Xenopus tropicalis: one gene and its partner. The protein of the gene in region 1 purifies or fractionates together with the protein of each later gene. This does not show direct contact. Links are inferred from orthologs where the notes say so. Each region holds a gene or a part of one and is shown on either strand. Other genes may lie near its edges.

Region 1 (6,306 bases):
GTGTTGCTAGAGAGCCATTTGTAGCTTGGTAATTATATTTGTATTTGGTGTGACACATCATAAGGGATAGTGACAATTTTCTGGAGTGACTAGCTGGTGTTATTGTAGCACACCAGTTTATGGCAGGTTGAATGCTATGATTTAGTCACATCAACATTTTTGTATTTAGCCTATGTGTCACTTCTGTAGCACATGACAGGGGACATGAAAATTAAAAAGTGCAGCAATGGGAAATGTGCGTGACCCAACTTGCACTTAGGCTTGTGTAGAACAAAAAAATGAAAAAGTTGTTTCAGTGCCACACAGGGTAGTAATGCCTGAGTTTGGCTTGGTGCTTCTTTCAAAAACAGTCCCTTAGTTAGCGTTGTCAGCCAGGGGCTGCTTGAGGAATGAGGGAGGAGGAGGAAGAAGATGAGGAGTTGGTAATTACATCTTGCATAAATTTGCGGCAAACCGGGCGAATCTCCTTGCTCAGTGTGGCACTGAACATCATAACCTGCTTCTCATGTGGTGTCATGCGGAAAATTTCCTGTACATCTCTGCGCATGTCTATGGGTTTTGGAAAAAGAAAAACAGAGTAAATAACAGTGAATGAGAGGGGAATTTCCACCCATCTCAACTTTAAAAAAGGAAACATGACACATGAGGAGATTAGTCGCTCCGTGATAAATCTTCTCCAGCATGGGCAATTACTTTCCTGAATGCTTTCCTACCAGTGTAAATCACCCATGGAAAAACATGCGTCGCTTTGGTTTTCTGAAGCCATCTTAAGTTGCCTTGCAAGGCAACTTAAGATGCTTTAATAGAAAATACCTGCTAAAACTTGGCTTCCTTTCAATTGAACTACGGCGATAAGGCGAAGGAAGGAGCTGCATCCACTATTTGACGATCAATTGATCGAGCCTAGCCTGACTCCTTCCTATACAGAAAGAAGGCTAGGCTCGATCAATCGATCGTCGCATAGTGGATGCAGCTCCTTCCTTCGCCTTATCGCCATAGTTCAATTGGCAGGAAGCCAAGTTTTAGCAGGTATTTTCTATTAAAGCATTTAAAAAACTAAGTGGTTTGCAGGATAGGACATTTATTGGTGCAGGGTAAAATAGCTTTTTTACTTAAAAAAATTTAGTGTTACATTTCCTTTAAAGGGCTGCTGTATTCACCTTAATATAAGAACCCATATGACAAACACAAAATATTCAAAATATACTTCTTCCTGTGGTATATTTCCCTAAAGAAGGTTGTAAATCCAAAAAAGAAAGACATTTTGCCTTTGGCTTATTTAGGCATGTATTGCATTTAATTACTCACCTAGCTGTTCTAACATCTTGTCACACTCATCAAGGATGAAATGTTTGATGTGTTTCAGATTCAGAGTCTTGTTTCTTGCAAGCGCCAGCATTCGCCCTGGTGTTCCCACCACAATGTGGGGACAGCTCTTTTTCAGAACCTCCTCATCTTTCTTAATAGCAAGCCCCCCAAAAAATACTGCCACCTGAAAGACATAGTGTAATTTTAAAGACAAGGAAAAAAAACAGAAAAACAGGGGAAAGCAATGACAGTAGAGAGTCAAATACCTTTAAAGAAACAATAACACTAAAAAAAATGAGTGTTTTAAAGTAATTAAAATATTAGGCACCATTGCCCTACACTGCACTGTGTTGCTGCAAAAGAGCCACAGATTTAGAAGGCATGTAATGGATAAGATGTGTCAGAGGGTTGAGTTCTGACACAGGAGGATAAATAGGTGCCAAAGGGAGTAAGGGTAACTTCACACCTGGTGGATGATCTGCTGAGAAAAAAGAATGAGAATGCCCTAAGGCAGGGATCCGCAACCTTTCATACCCGTGAGCCACATTCAAATAGAAAGTGTGTCGGAGAGCAACAAAAGCATTGAAAAAGTTCCTGAGGGTGCAAATAAGAGCTTTAATTGGCTATTTGGTAGCTCCTATATAGACTGGCAGCCTAAAGGAAGCTCTGTTTGGCAATTACACCGGGTTTTATGCAACCAAAACTTGCCTAGAAGCCAGAAATTCAAAAATAAGCACCTGCTTTGAGGCCACTGGGAGCAACATCCAAGGGGTTGGGGAGCAACATGTTGCTCATGAACCACTGGTTGGGGATCACTGCCCTAAGGTATGAAAACCTCTTTCATAAAAAATAGGACAACTGTTGCCAAGAAATAGTTTATTTGAAGGATCTAGGTAGAAAGATAAAAATGTTAAATGTAAAAAAAAAAAAACATTTTCACTTTTTGACATTACTGATCCTTTAACTATATAAAATAAACCCGTAGTAATTTTGGACTATCCATTACAAAAGAAACCTTCTGGCCCCTTCCACTTGCCACTTATTATTAGATTATAGGATGTATGTATATGGTTTAGAAGTATTGTGAGATTGCAGAAGCTGTATGATTTAAACACAATGTTGCATCTGTTTATCAAAATGTTACACTGCTGCCAGTCACTGCCATCCCCACAAACTAAAGAGGAAAAAAACATTTCTGCAATATGGGACAGATAAAGAAAATATTACTTTTTTTCATAAGGAAATGAAAGTTAAAAGGACAGAAAGGGGCAAACCCACAGGCCAAAGACAGACTGTTTAAGTTGCCCTCTTACCTACACATGTACTGATCAGCAGGCAAATAAGACTGGTTTATATTCATCAGAAGAAATATTCACAAGTTTTTCATTCTCGTCTACTTATCTGCATATATTTATTTATTTATTTGTATGGTTTGTAGTTGGCATGCTGCTGCTATTCTGATCAAACTCTATAATACAGTGCTCTCTAAAGAGCAAATGAACTTAAAGGAGAAGGAAAGGCTAAGGCACTTGGGGGTGCCAAAATTTTAGGAAGCGCTTGCAGCTACCCCGGGCTGGTGCTGTTCTCTCCTAACAGGGGCACCAGCCCAGGGTACAAAGTAAGCAATTAAAGTCACTTGGGGGTGCCTAACATTTTTGCACCCCCAAGTGACTTTGCCTTTCCTTCTCCTTTAAGAATTGTTATGAAAGTGCTGCACACTTAAACACCACAAGGAAAATAACTGTTCATTATAGAAAAAAATGTCTGATGGGTACCTTTTCTTTTCCATTGGAAAGGCACATCATATTTAGGCAAACAAGAGTTAACAAGCCATGGAAATTTAAAACCAGACAGATTTACATACATATTCCTTACCTTAACAGAAGGCATATATTTGGAGAATCTCTCATACTCCTTACTGATTTGAAAAGCCAACTCTCTTGTGTGACACATGACTAATACAGAGACCTACAATACAATCCAAGGAAAGGGACAGTCAACACTACAAAAACAACAGAAAATACAATATTTTGGATTGTAAATGTCACCTAAGTGCATTTTCACACAGCAACAAATATATGCACTTGTCTTGAGTTAGCATACTGGACAATAAATGGCAAGGAGCTGCATGGAGTTTAAATTTTTTACTAGGGTAGCTAAAGGAAAAGTAACACTAAAAATTTTTAAGTAAAAAATCTATTCTACCCTGCCTATAATTGCCCTATCCTGCACACCATTTATTATTTTTAATGCTTTATTAGAAAATACCTGCTAAAACTTCCCGGCTTCCCGTTGTTTGAATTCTTCGCTGCATCGCCCTGTTTCAAATGACCAGAAGCCAAGTTTTAGCAGGTATTTTCTAAAATTTTTAGTGTTACTTTTCCTTTAAGCTTCAGCCACCAGATAGCACTTTAACCCTTTTCCTGCCAATAGCACAGTTACTACATCACTGGCAAAGGATGTAAGATACTGCCAATGACATAGCATCTACATCCCCAGGTAACTCTACAGGCAAAATGCATTTCCTAATAACATCTCTTTCCAGAAGCACAATTAAACCCACCAGATCGCTAACAGGAATAGGGTCTACACCATTTTAAAAAGTAATTTTTTAAGAGAACTACTAGTACTCACGCAAGTTGTAAAGTATTAGATGATAAGATTTTGCTAGTTTGGGCCCCAATCATTGTTTTTTTTTTATTGTGAATTTCCCTTTCAATTATTTATTTCAGACAATCTAAATTCTCTCCATAATTGTAGCTTTTGTTTAGTTATATATTTTACTTTTCAAAAGAAAGTATGCCCTCAGGATTAGAACCTTTTTTGTGCGGAACATTTTCGCCTTTTTACTTATTGTTTTTATAATGGGCTAATTCTAATCTCACAGACAAACTTGGAGAAGGGAGGCGTTTTTATGCAAAGGGCATCTCGGTGGACTGGTGATTTTTTGCTCATTTTCATCTTAACTAAAAGTAACGTGACTTTACTTTTAATTTTGTTTTTTTGTTCCTTAACACTCACCTGCCCAGTAACAGGTTCCAGCTGTTGCAATGTGGCTAACACAAAAACTGCTGTTTTTCCCATGCCAGACTTTGCTTGACATAAAATATCCATACCAAGAATTGCTTGGGGTATGCATTCATGTTGTACTATAGGAAAGAAAACAAACAGAAATACAGATATTACATAAAAAATGCCCTCTACTCAAACACACATTAAAACCACAGAAGAAAACTTTAAATTATTATCTGCCCTTCTTTTGCATAATGTAAATTGTAATCAACTTTCCAAGGTATATTAATAAAAACATTCAAAAGTTTTATTTACATAACATATTAAAAACAGAATCTAGTGGTTTAAACTCTCTGCACTTCTGCACACCAGGAAAACAGTGTCAACTGTACAGAAAGTATAGAAACAAATTTTAAATTAACTTCAAAATTAAACAAATATATATCATAACAGTTTTGTAAATTCCCAACTCAATTTCCTTTTCATTTAACCGAATAAAAACTACTGAAACTGTCTTTGTGTTCAGCAAGATTTAACATATTAGACCTGCTTGTTTGATAAGGTACAGAAGTACCCAGAGCGGGTTGAAATAATAACTTAAATAACTACTGCATGGACAGAAATTGCATTAGGGTAAGCAATACATGTACCTCCAATGATTTCAGTGTGGTGAAAAAACTGAAAATAAACTTTATAAATGAGCATGTCTGTGGAATTGTCTCTTAAATGTTGCATAACAACAATATAATGTACAGATTTAACCCCTTTGGAAGCTCAGAAGTGGCTAATCCATAATCTCGTTTGACAGAGCAAGATATTGACTGTCTGTTTTAGCACCATACAAAGAACCTAGTTCCTTATGCTGATCATAAAACTGTTCATTTTTTGGCCTCTAGTACCTTTATTTACCAAAGATTTTTTTCCCCCCTGGGCAGCAGACATTTTTTAAACAGGAAGCAGCACAACACAAGTATAAGATGCATAGGAAAATTTAAATCAGAAAGAAAGCTATAATCACTTATGTGAGACCACCCTAGGCTGGCCCTCCTGTTTGCTAAGAAATGCAGTGGCCCAGGTACTAATGTCGGAGTGAAACAAATAAAACTTAAATACACAGCACTAGTTTACGGTGAGAGCAGCACCATACAATAGTGAGTCCTATCTTCCACTCTATGAAAATAACAAACACAAAATTCAGGGGGGCTTTTCAATTTCTCCCCTTAGTCCTCAATGTGGATTTTCTGTGGAAATATATAAACTGCAAATAGCAAAGCACCATCAGGAGAATAGAAACCCTCAGGATTCCGTTCTGCTTACTGAATGATCAAGATACTAAGCCTTCACAATAGTCACTCAGGGTCTCATCAATTCATAAGGTGGTTCTAAGCTTAAAGGAGAAGGAAAGGCTAATAAAGAGTTAATCTCAAGCTGCAGGCATACCTTCAGTTGTCTCAATAGTGCCCTTAAAGGAGAAGGAAAGGTTAAGTCACTTGGGGGTGCCAAAATGTTAGGCACCCCCAAGTGACTTAGAACGCCTACCTTGTACCCCGGGCTGGTGCCCCCGTACGGAGAGAACAGCACCAGCCCGGGGCAGCTGCCGGCGCTACCTGCTTCCTCCTCGCTTGCGCGCGCATGCGCAGTAGAGTGAAAAGCCGAACTTAAACATTAAAGTCGGCTTTTCACTCTACTGCGCATGCGCCGGCCCACGGATTTCGGCAGCAGCGCGCAAAGGAAGGAGGAAGCGGTGTCTACAGGTGCCCCGGGCTGGTGCTGTTTTCTCCTAACGGGGGCACCAGCCCGGGGTACAAGGTAGGTCATGTAAGTCACTTGGGGGTGCCTAACATTTTGGCACCCCCAAGTGACTTAGCCTTTCCTTCTCCTTTAAGTCTCCCCATATTTCTCCTGTTCAGATGATCAGAACGCAAACAGGAAGAAAAAACTCTGAGCTGTGTAAAGAAAGTTCCCATAATGCCTCACTCCTGTACC
Region 2 (6,306 bases), on another chromosome or scaffold:
ATTTAGAGATGATCTGCAAAGAGGAGTGGACCAACATTCCTCCTAAAATGTGCGCAAACTTGGTCATCAATTACAAGAAACGTTTGACCTCTGTGCTTGCAAACAAGGGTTTTTCCACTAAGTATTAAGTCTTATTTTGTTAGAGGGTTCAAAAACTTATTTCACTCAATGAAATGCAAATCAGTTGCTATCTTTTATTTAAAGTTATTTTTTCGATTTTCCTTTTGATGTGCTATCTGCCACTGTTAAAATAAACCTACCATTGAAATGATACTGTTCTGAGACTTTTCATTTCTTTGTCATTGGACAAACTTACAAAATCAGTGAGGGGTCAAATAATTATTTCCTCCACTGTATATATAAAAACAAGTCAGATATCCCCTATATAAAGTGTTTCACAAAGATACAACACAGAGAGGGTCACACACACAAAACTTCTGTTTATATTGGAATCCTTACCGGGTTCACCGATTTCTTTTCAGTTTCAGTTTCATCTTCATCTTCTGCTTCACTAGGATTGTCCTCTTCTACTTCACCTTCCTCAGTCTCATCTCCAGAGCTCAGTGGGCTGTCATCAAGTCTGTCTAAAAGGACAGTAAAAAATATGGAAAGTTACATGTTAAATCTGGTTCATAAAGGAAAACAAATTCCAAGGTGAAGCCAATCCCTACAACAGAGAGACTGTTACAAATTCTGTGTAAAATAAAGAATGTGAATAAAAATCCTGGTCGTCTACTCCACTCCTCTCAGGGCCTCCGTCTTTTTACACCATCCACACCCACTGCAATTTCTTGTCTTAAACCTTTCTATCTCGCTGCTCCTTGCCTCTGGAACTCTATTCCTGAATCCCTCTGTAGGTAACACTCACCCACTCTCTTTGAGATAAAACTCTAGATGCTACCTTCTGGAGCACTAAAACATTATTTTGCCTAGTCCTGCGCTTAAGGGCAAATGCCCATACCTGATGCACTCTTACCTTCCAATTTGTACCTGTATGTTACCCAACAACCACTTAGATTGTAAGCGCTACGGAGCAGGGACCTCCTTCCTACTGTGTTGCTTACCACATGGCACTTACTCCTTGTGTATTTATACTTATTTATTGTATTTATTATAACACTCCCTGTGTGTAATTTTGTATATTGTAAGATTGTACACTAGACACTTTGCAAAGTGTAACAATAGTGATAAAAAAATTATTTTCAGTACAGGCAATTGAACAAATTGGAAGGAGAGGAGGAGATACCCTTACCCTTCTCCATAAACATGAAGTGTTTTGGATTTTTTATGTTCATACACGTATACCCTTAGGTTTGAATTTTACTTTTGATTTTACCTGCTTTGTGTGAAAAATATATTGTTTATATTTTTTGTGTATTTTCACTCTGTAACCCTGTGGTATGTATTTTTTAACTTTGGTAAAATTGACTTTTTATTTGATAGAGTAAACTTAATGAATAAAAATGTCTGCATTAGAGGAGCAGTGAGTTGCTCTACATTGATTGGTTTTAATAAAGGTGGGTTGTGCTCTATACCATGTATTTATAGATTAGCATGAAACACATTAGGCTTTGTATATGGGGTTTGTTTTAACGGATTATAATAAAGATGTTTATTAAAAAAAATAACTTTTTGGTTGTTGCGGACTCAATCTTTAAATTCAACTGAAAGGAAATCATAAAAAGCAAGTCTGGTGAACTAACTAACCCTTACCTTAAATAAACTCTAAAAATTACTAATTACCAATTAGCCTTGTATAGTATTTATTATACACTGTATATACAGCATATTGTGTGTCGGTCCCTAAGCTCAGGTGAGTGACAGCAGCACAGAGCATGGGCAGGTTATCAGCAGAAAAGAAGATAGGGGGATTGGAGGCACAGATCTTCCCTGCTAAAGGGCTGTGGTTGCCTTGGGCTGGTACATAAACCCAAAACATAATGTACATCACCGTTAGCAAAAACTACTTAAAGGAAAACTAAATCTCCAAAGAAGTAGGCTAACAGGTTCTGTACCAGCCCAAGGTAATTATTAATGGGGCAGTATGACCCCTTGTTCAACATGTTCAACAATGTTTTTTGTTATTTCTTTATCTACACAGAGAAATAAAAAAACTGAAACTACTCCATGTTTGGATTTTACAAGTTAATACAGGTATGGGATCCTTTATTCTCAAACCCATTATCCGGAAAGCTTCAAATTACGGGAAGGCGTAATAGATGCCATATTAATCAAATAATTCAAGAATATTAAATATATTTTCTTTTGCTCTGAAATAATAAAACAGTACCTTGTACTAGATCTCAACTGAGATATAATTACTGCTTATTGGAGGCAAAGCAATCCTTCGGAGTTTAATAACTTTCAACAATTTTTTTTAGCAGACTTAAAGCATGGAGATCAAAATTATGGACAGACCCCTTATCTGGAAAACCTGAGGTCCCAAGCATTCTGGATAACAGGTCCCATAAATATAAACAGATTACCAGAGCACAGATAAACAACTGAATAAATGAACTCCTTCTAACAAAACCGCCACAATAAAATAGTGACAGAAGGGCTCAGTATCTATAAGTAAGTTAACTAATGGTAGGATAGTAAGTGTGGAAGCAAAACATTGTTCTCTTACTGTTTTACAACACAAATAACTAAAAACTATGTATTTTTAGGGCGAAGACACATGGGGCGATTAGTCGTGGTGATGGCCATTGTACTCGCTGAAACTGGCTTCATTAACAGTCGTGGCGACTAATCGCCCAGTGTGTCTTCTCCCTTTTATTTATTTATATTAATAATCATTTACATTGTTTTTTCACATGTACTTTCAGCACAGGTTCTGTTTATTTTGCTCATGTTGCAAAAGGGTGTTATAGGTGCATACTGCTCCTTTAAAATGTTTTAACCTGAAACAAGATATCATTTTGTGGGACTAAAAGCTCCAAAGAGGTATTGTGCATGCAGTTATCCTAAAAACCATTATGGGTATGAGAGTAATGATTATGTCAGATGGCGAGATAAAAAGAAGAATTTACCCTTTTTGGATCTGGCAGAACTGTGCTCTCCATCTTTTTTTCTTTGGCCTTTTTCATTAGTGGGCATACTGCTTAGGTTTAACAAAGCACGAGACGGAGTTACCTCATCCAGCCACACAACGTTACCTAAGGAGAAAATGCAAAACTAAATCATGAACACAGCTTGCATAGATTGCTGGCACACATCTGTACAGTAAAATACACAGCATTCTAAAATGTGCAATCAAAGGATTCAACATGGAAAGGAAATACAACAATTTATTCACTGTTTTAGTCTAAAGTGAAACAATTAACAGTCCATAGTTGCAGTATGTCCAGTACCAAGTGCATTAGGAAGCACACCACCCACATAAAGTTAAACATCTGTAACAAAAAATACAGAAAACAAATTTTGGAGACTTTGACCCTGTCTATCACAGAAGTGGTGCGCTGGTGAGAGGTATGTATAGTTCTAAACAATGCTAACTTTCACTATATAATACATTTCTCTCACTGGCTGGTAGGTAAAACCTATCCAATATGTTAAACTTGTGTCAGTTTGGGGACCATAAACCCCAGCTTTTAGCATTAATCATTCCTTAGACAAAAAGGAAAAGAATTCACTGACTAAGGAATTTAAATACCTTAATTTAATGTATATTCAGTGTTGGATGTTCAAGTAAGATTTCTCGTTTGCACACATAAAACATACACAACAGTGGAAATACATTCCAAATTCCCTGCTCTACCATAAACCCTGAAAAACACAAAAAAGCTGTCTTTAGCCACTGTAATAAACTGCATGAGTTCTTTGTATGGAGCTTTCACAGAATCATTCATTGAGTAGAGTATGGTGCAAATGGCTTATGAATTGGGCAGCTTATAGGACACAAGGGTGAGCTTTTACTATTGATACAAATATATCTAAGGAGCAGAAAGAGGGCCACATCAATCAGCTTATTACCAATTGCTTTTTGGTGCGGTGCATACATAATGGTATGCACCATTATGTACTTTATGTACTGCACATTAAAGGAGAAAGAAAGGTAAAAACTAAGTAAGCTTTATCAGAAAGGTCTATGTAAATACAGCCATAAGAAATTACAAAAGATTAGTTGCGTCTGTTTTCCTCTGCCAGAGACAGGCAGCTCTCTGCTCTCTCCTGCTCCCGCCCTCCCTCAAGAATGCTAAGAACTCACTCCCCCCCTTAGGAAGGTGGATCTGAGCCAATCAGCAGGAAGCTGACTCATAGGGGCTGATTTACTAACCCACGAATCCGACCCGAATTGGAAAAGTTCCGACTTGAAAACGAACATTTTGCGACTTTTTCGTATGTTTTGCGATTTTTTCGGATTCTGTACGAATTTTTCGGATCCAATACGATTTTTGCGTAAAAACGCGAGTTTTTCGTATCCATTACGAAAGTTGTGTAAAAAGTTGCGCATTTTGCGTAGCGTTAAAACTTACGCGAAAAGTTGCGCATTTTTCGTAGCGTTAAAACTTAACGCTACGAAAAATGCGCAACTTTTCACGTAAGTTTTAACGCTACGCAAAATGCGCAACTTTTTTACGCAACTTTCGTAATGGATAGGAAAACTCGCGTTTTTACGCAAAAATCGTATTGGATCCGAAAAATTCGTACAGAATCCGAAAAAATCGCAAAACATACGAAAAAATCGCAAAGTACCGATCATTACGAAAAAAACGCAATCGGACTCCATTCGACCCGTTCGTGGGTAAGTAAATCAGCCCCATAGTCTAACTGAGCATGTACACAGGTCTTGCTCTTGGTGCAGGAGTGAGGCATTATGGGAACTTTCTCTACAGAGCTCAGTTTTTTCTTCCTGTGTGGCTTCTGATAATCTGAATGGGAGAAATATGCGGAGACTTAAGGGCACTATTGAGAGAAGGGAAGGTATGCCTGCAGCTTGAGATGAACTCTTTATTAGCCTTTCCTTCTCCTTTAAATACTTATGTATGCACGGTATAGCACGTGTTAATTAGTTCACCCCTTCTACAAATGGGATTTATACTACTGGTGACTACAGAACAACAGATCCAGAGCTATCTTTCTGCATTCAGCACTGGTGTCCATCTCTAAGTTTCTGAGGAAGAACTGAAATGATACATGCTATCAGAGTTGTGGAATGGATATTGCTGCCATACCAAATATATTAGGAGCACTTGTGGATATTCTTTAATATTATCTGCAAATGAAAACAGTTAAAACTATTCCAGAAAAAGAACATTTTTAGAACTAAACACAATCACCAGAAAATATGTTTCTCTTTAGATACAGAAAAAGTGACATACAAATAATGGCACTATTGAGACTGTTTTAAGGCTTCAGGTGTATTTGAAAGTAAGATCAGAAGGCTAAAACAAGACTGGATTGTTGGAATCGTAGTTACTGCACCAATATGCACTCATAACAAATGGCATTCTGTATTGTATAGAAAAATGAATTCTATCCAAGCATCTAGCAAAATAGGAATACACTTACAGGAGCTGTCATCCAGCCATTCAATGTATCCTGGAGGGTATTGCTTAAAGAAGGCAAAGATATCCTCAGTGCTCATATCATCAACACCATAGACATAAAGAGTTTCAAGGCGGACTTTGGGGATTGCTAAGGAAATAGTGAAAAAACATGTTAGAAGTTTTTCTTTTGCATTTCATAAACTGAAGAAATCAAAGATAATGGAGGAAACCGCCTCATAAATTATTTTAAACATCACTGTTGGCAGTAAATATATCTGGTGGTACAATTCTATTACTGCCAAGGAACAGACCTAACCCTTGGGCAAACGGTATTGGCAAGGTATATAGCAAAACAGTGTCAAAATCTGAAAGGGTTTGTTTTAGAAAGCAAAATTTAAAAAATAATTTTCTTTTGGCAATTTTAAGCAATGATGTTAAAGAGCAAGGAAAGGCTACTACTGTTGTATCCCTTAATATAGTGTAGAGCTCCCTTGCCCAAAGCAAATCACCAAATTTATTTTTTAAAATAAAATAACATCTCACAAAAATTGGCTTGTAACTTAGGTGTATTTGCAGCCTGTCACAGCCGCCATCTTGGATTCCTGGATTCCCCCGCTTGCAAACCGCCCCGTGGCGATCGAACACCACCGCCCGCTCGCAGGCTTCTCTTACTAAGATCGAGCAATGTGCATGCGCCACCTAGTGTCCTATTCACATAGTCAATGCACGAGCAATGCATTATGCGAATCCTCTTTATCTAGCTCTGCGTTTTTTATTCCTGTTTGGCTTCAGATCTTCTGAACAGGTGAAATAT

What was found. The genes of interacting proteins can lie anywhere in the genome.
Region 2: the proteins of ddx39b (region 1) and ncbp3 purify together in Homo sapiens (co-immunoprecipitation; 4 studies listed by BioGRID and IntAct, with this or other methods). This does not show direct contact. The link is inferred for Xenopus tropicalis from reciprocal best matches to the Homo sapiens genes DDX39B and NCBP3.

What each region holds. Positions count from the first base shown.
Region 1 is NC_030684.2:74,201,275-74,207,580, forward strand, and holds part of ddx39b (spliceosome RNA helicase DDX39B), read right to left. Parts: intron 4,458-6,306; coding exon 4,330-4,457; intron 3,277-4,329; coding exon 3,184-3,276; intron 1,493-3,183; coding exon 1,309-1,492; intron 550-1,308; coding exon 431-549; intron 1-430. UniProt on the Homo sapiens protein: Involved in nuclear export of spliced and unspliced mRNA. Component of the TREX complex which is thought to couple mRNA transcription, processing and nuclear export, and specifically associates with spliced mRNA and not with unspliced pre-mRNA.
Region 2 is NC_030678.2:48,494,319-48,500,624, reverse strand, and holds part of ncbp3 (nuclear cap-binding protein subunit 3), read right to left. Parts: intron 5,641-6,306; coding exon 5,515-5,640; intron 3,159-5,514; coding exon 3,033-3,158; intron 585-3,032; coding exon 460-584; intron 1-459. UniProt on the Homo sapiens protein: Associates with NCBP1/CBP80 to form an alternative cap-binding complex (CBC) which plays a key role in mRNA export. NCBP3 serves as adapter protein linking the capped RNAs (m7GpppG-capped RNA) to NCBP1/CBP80.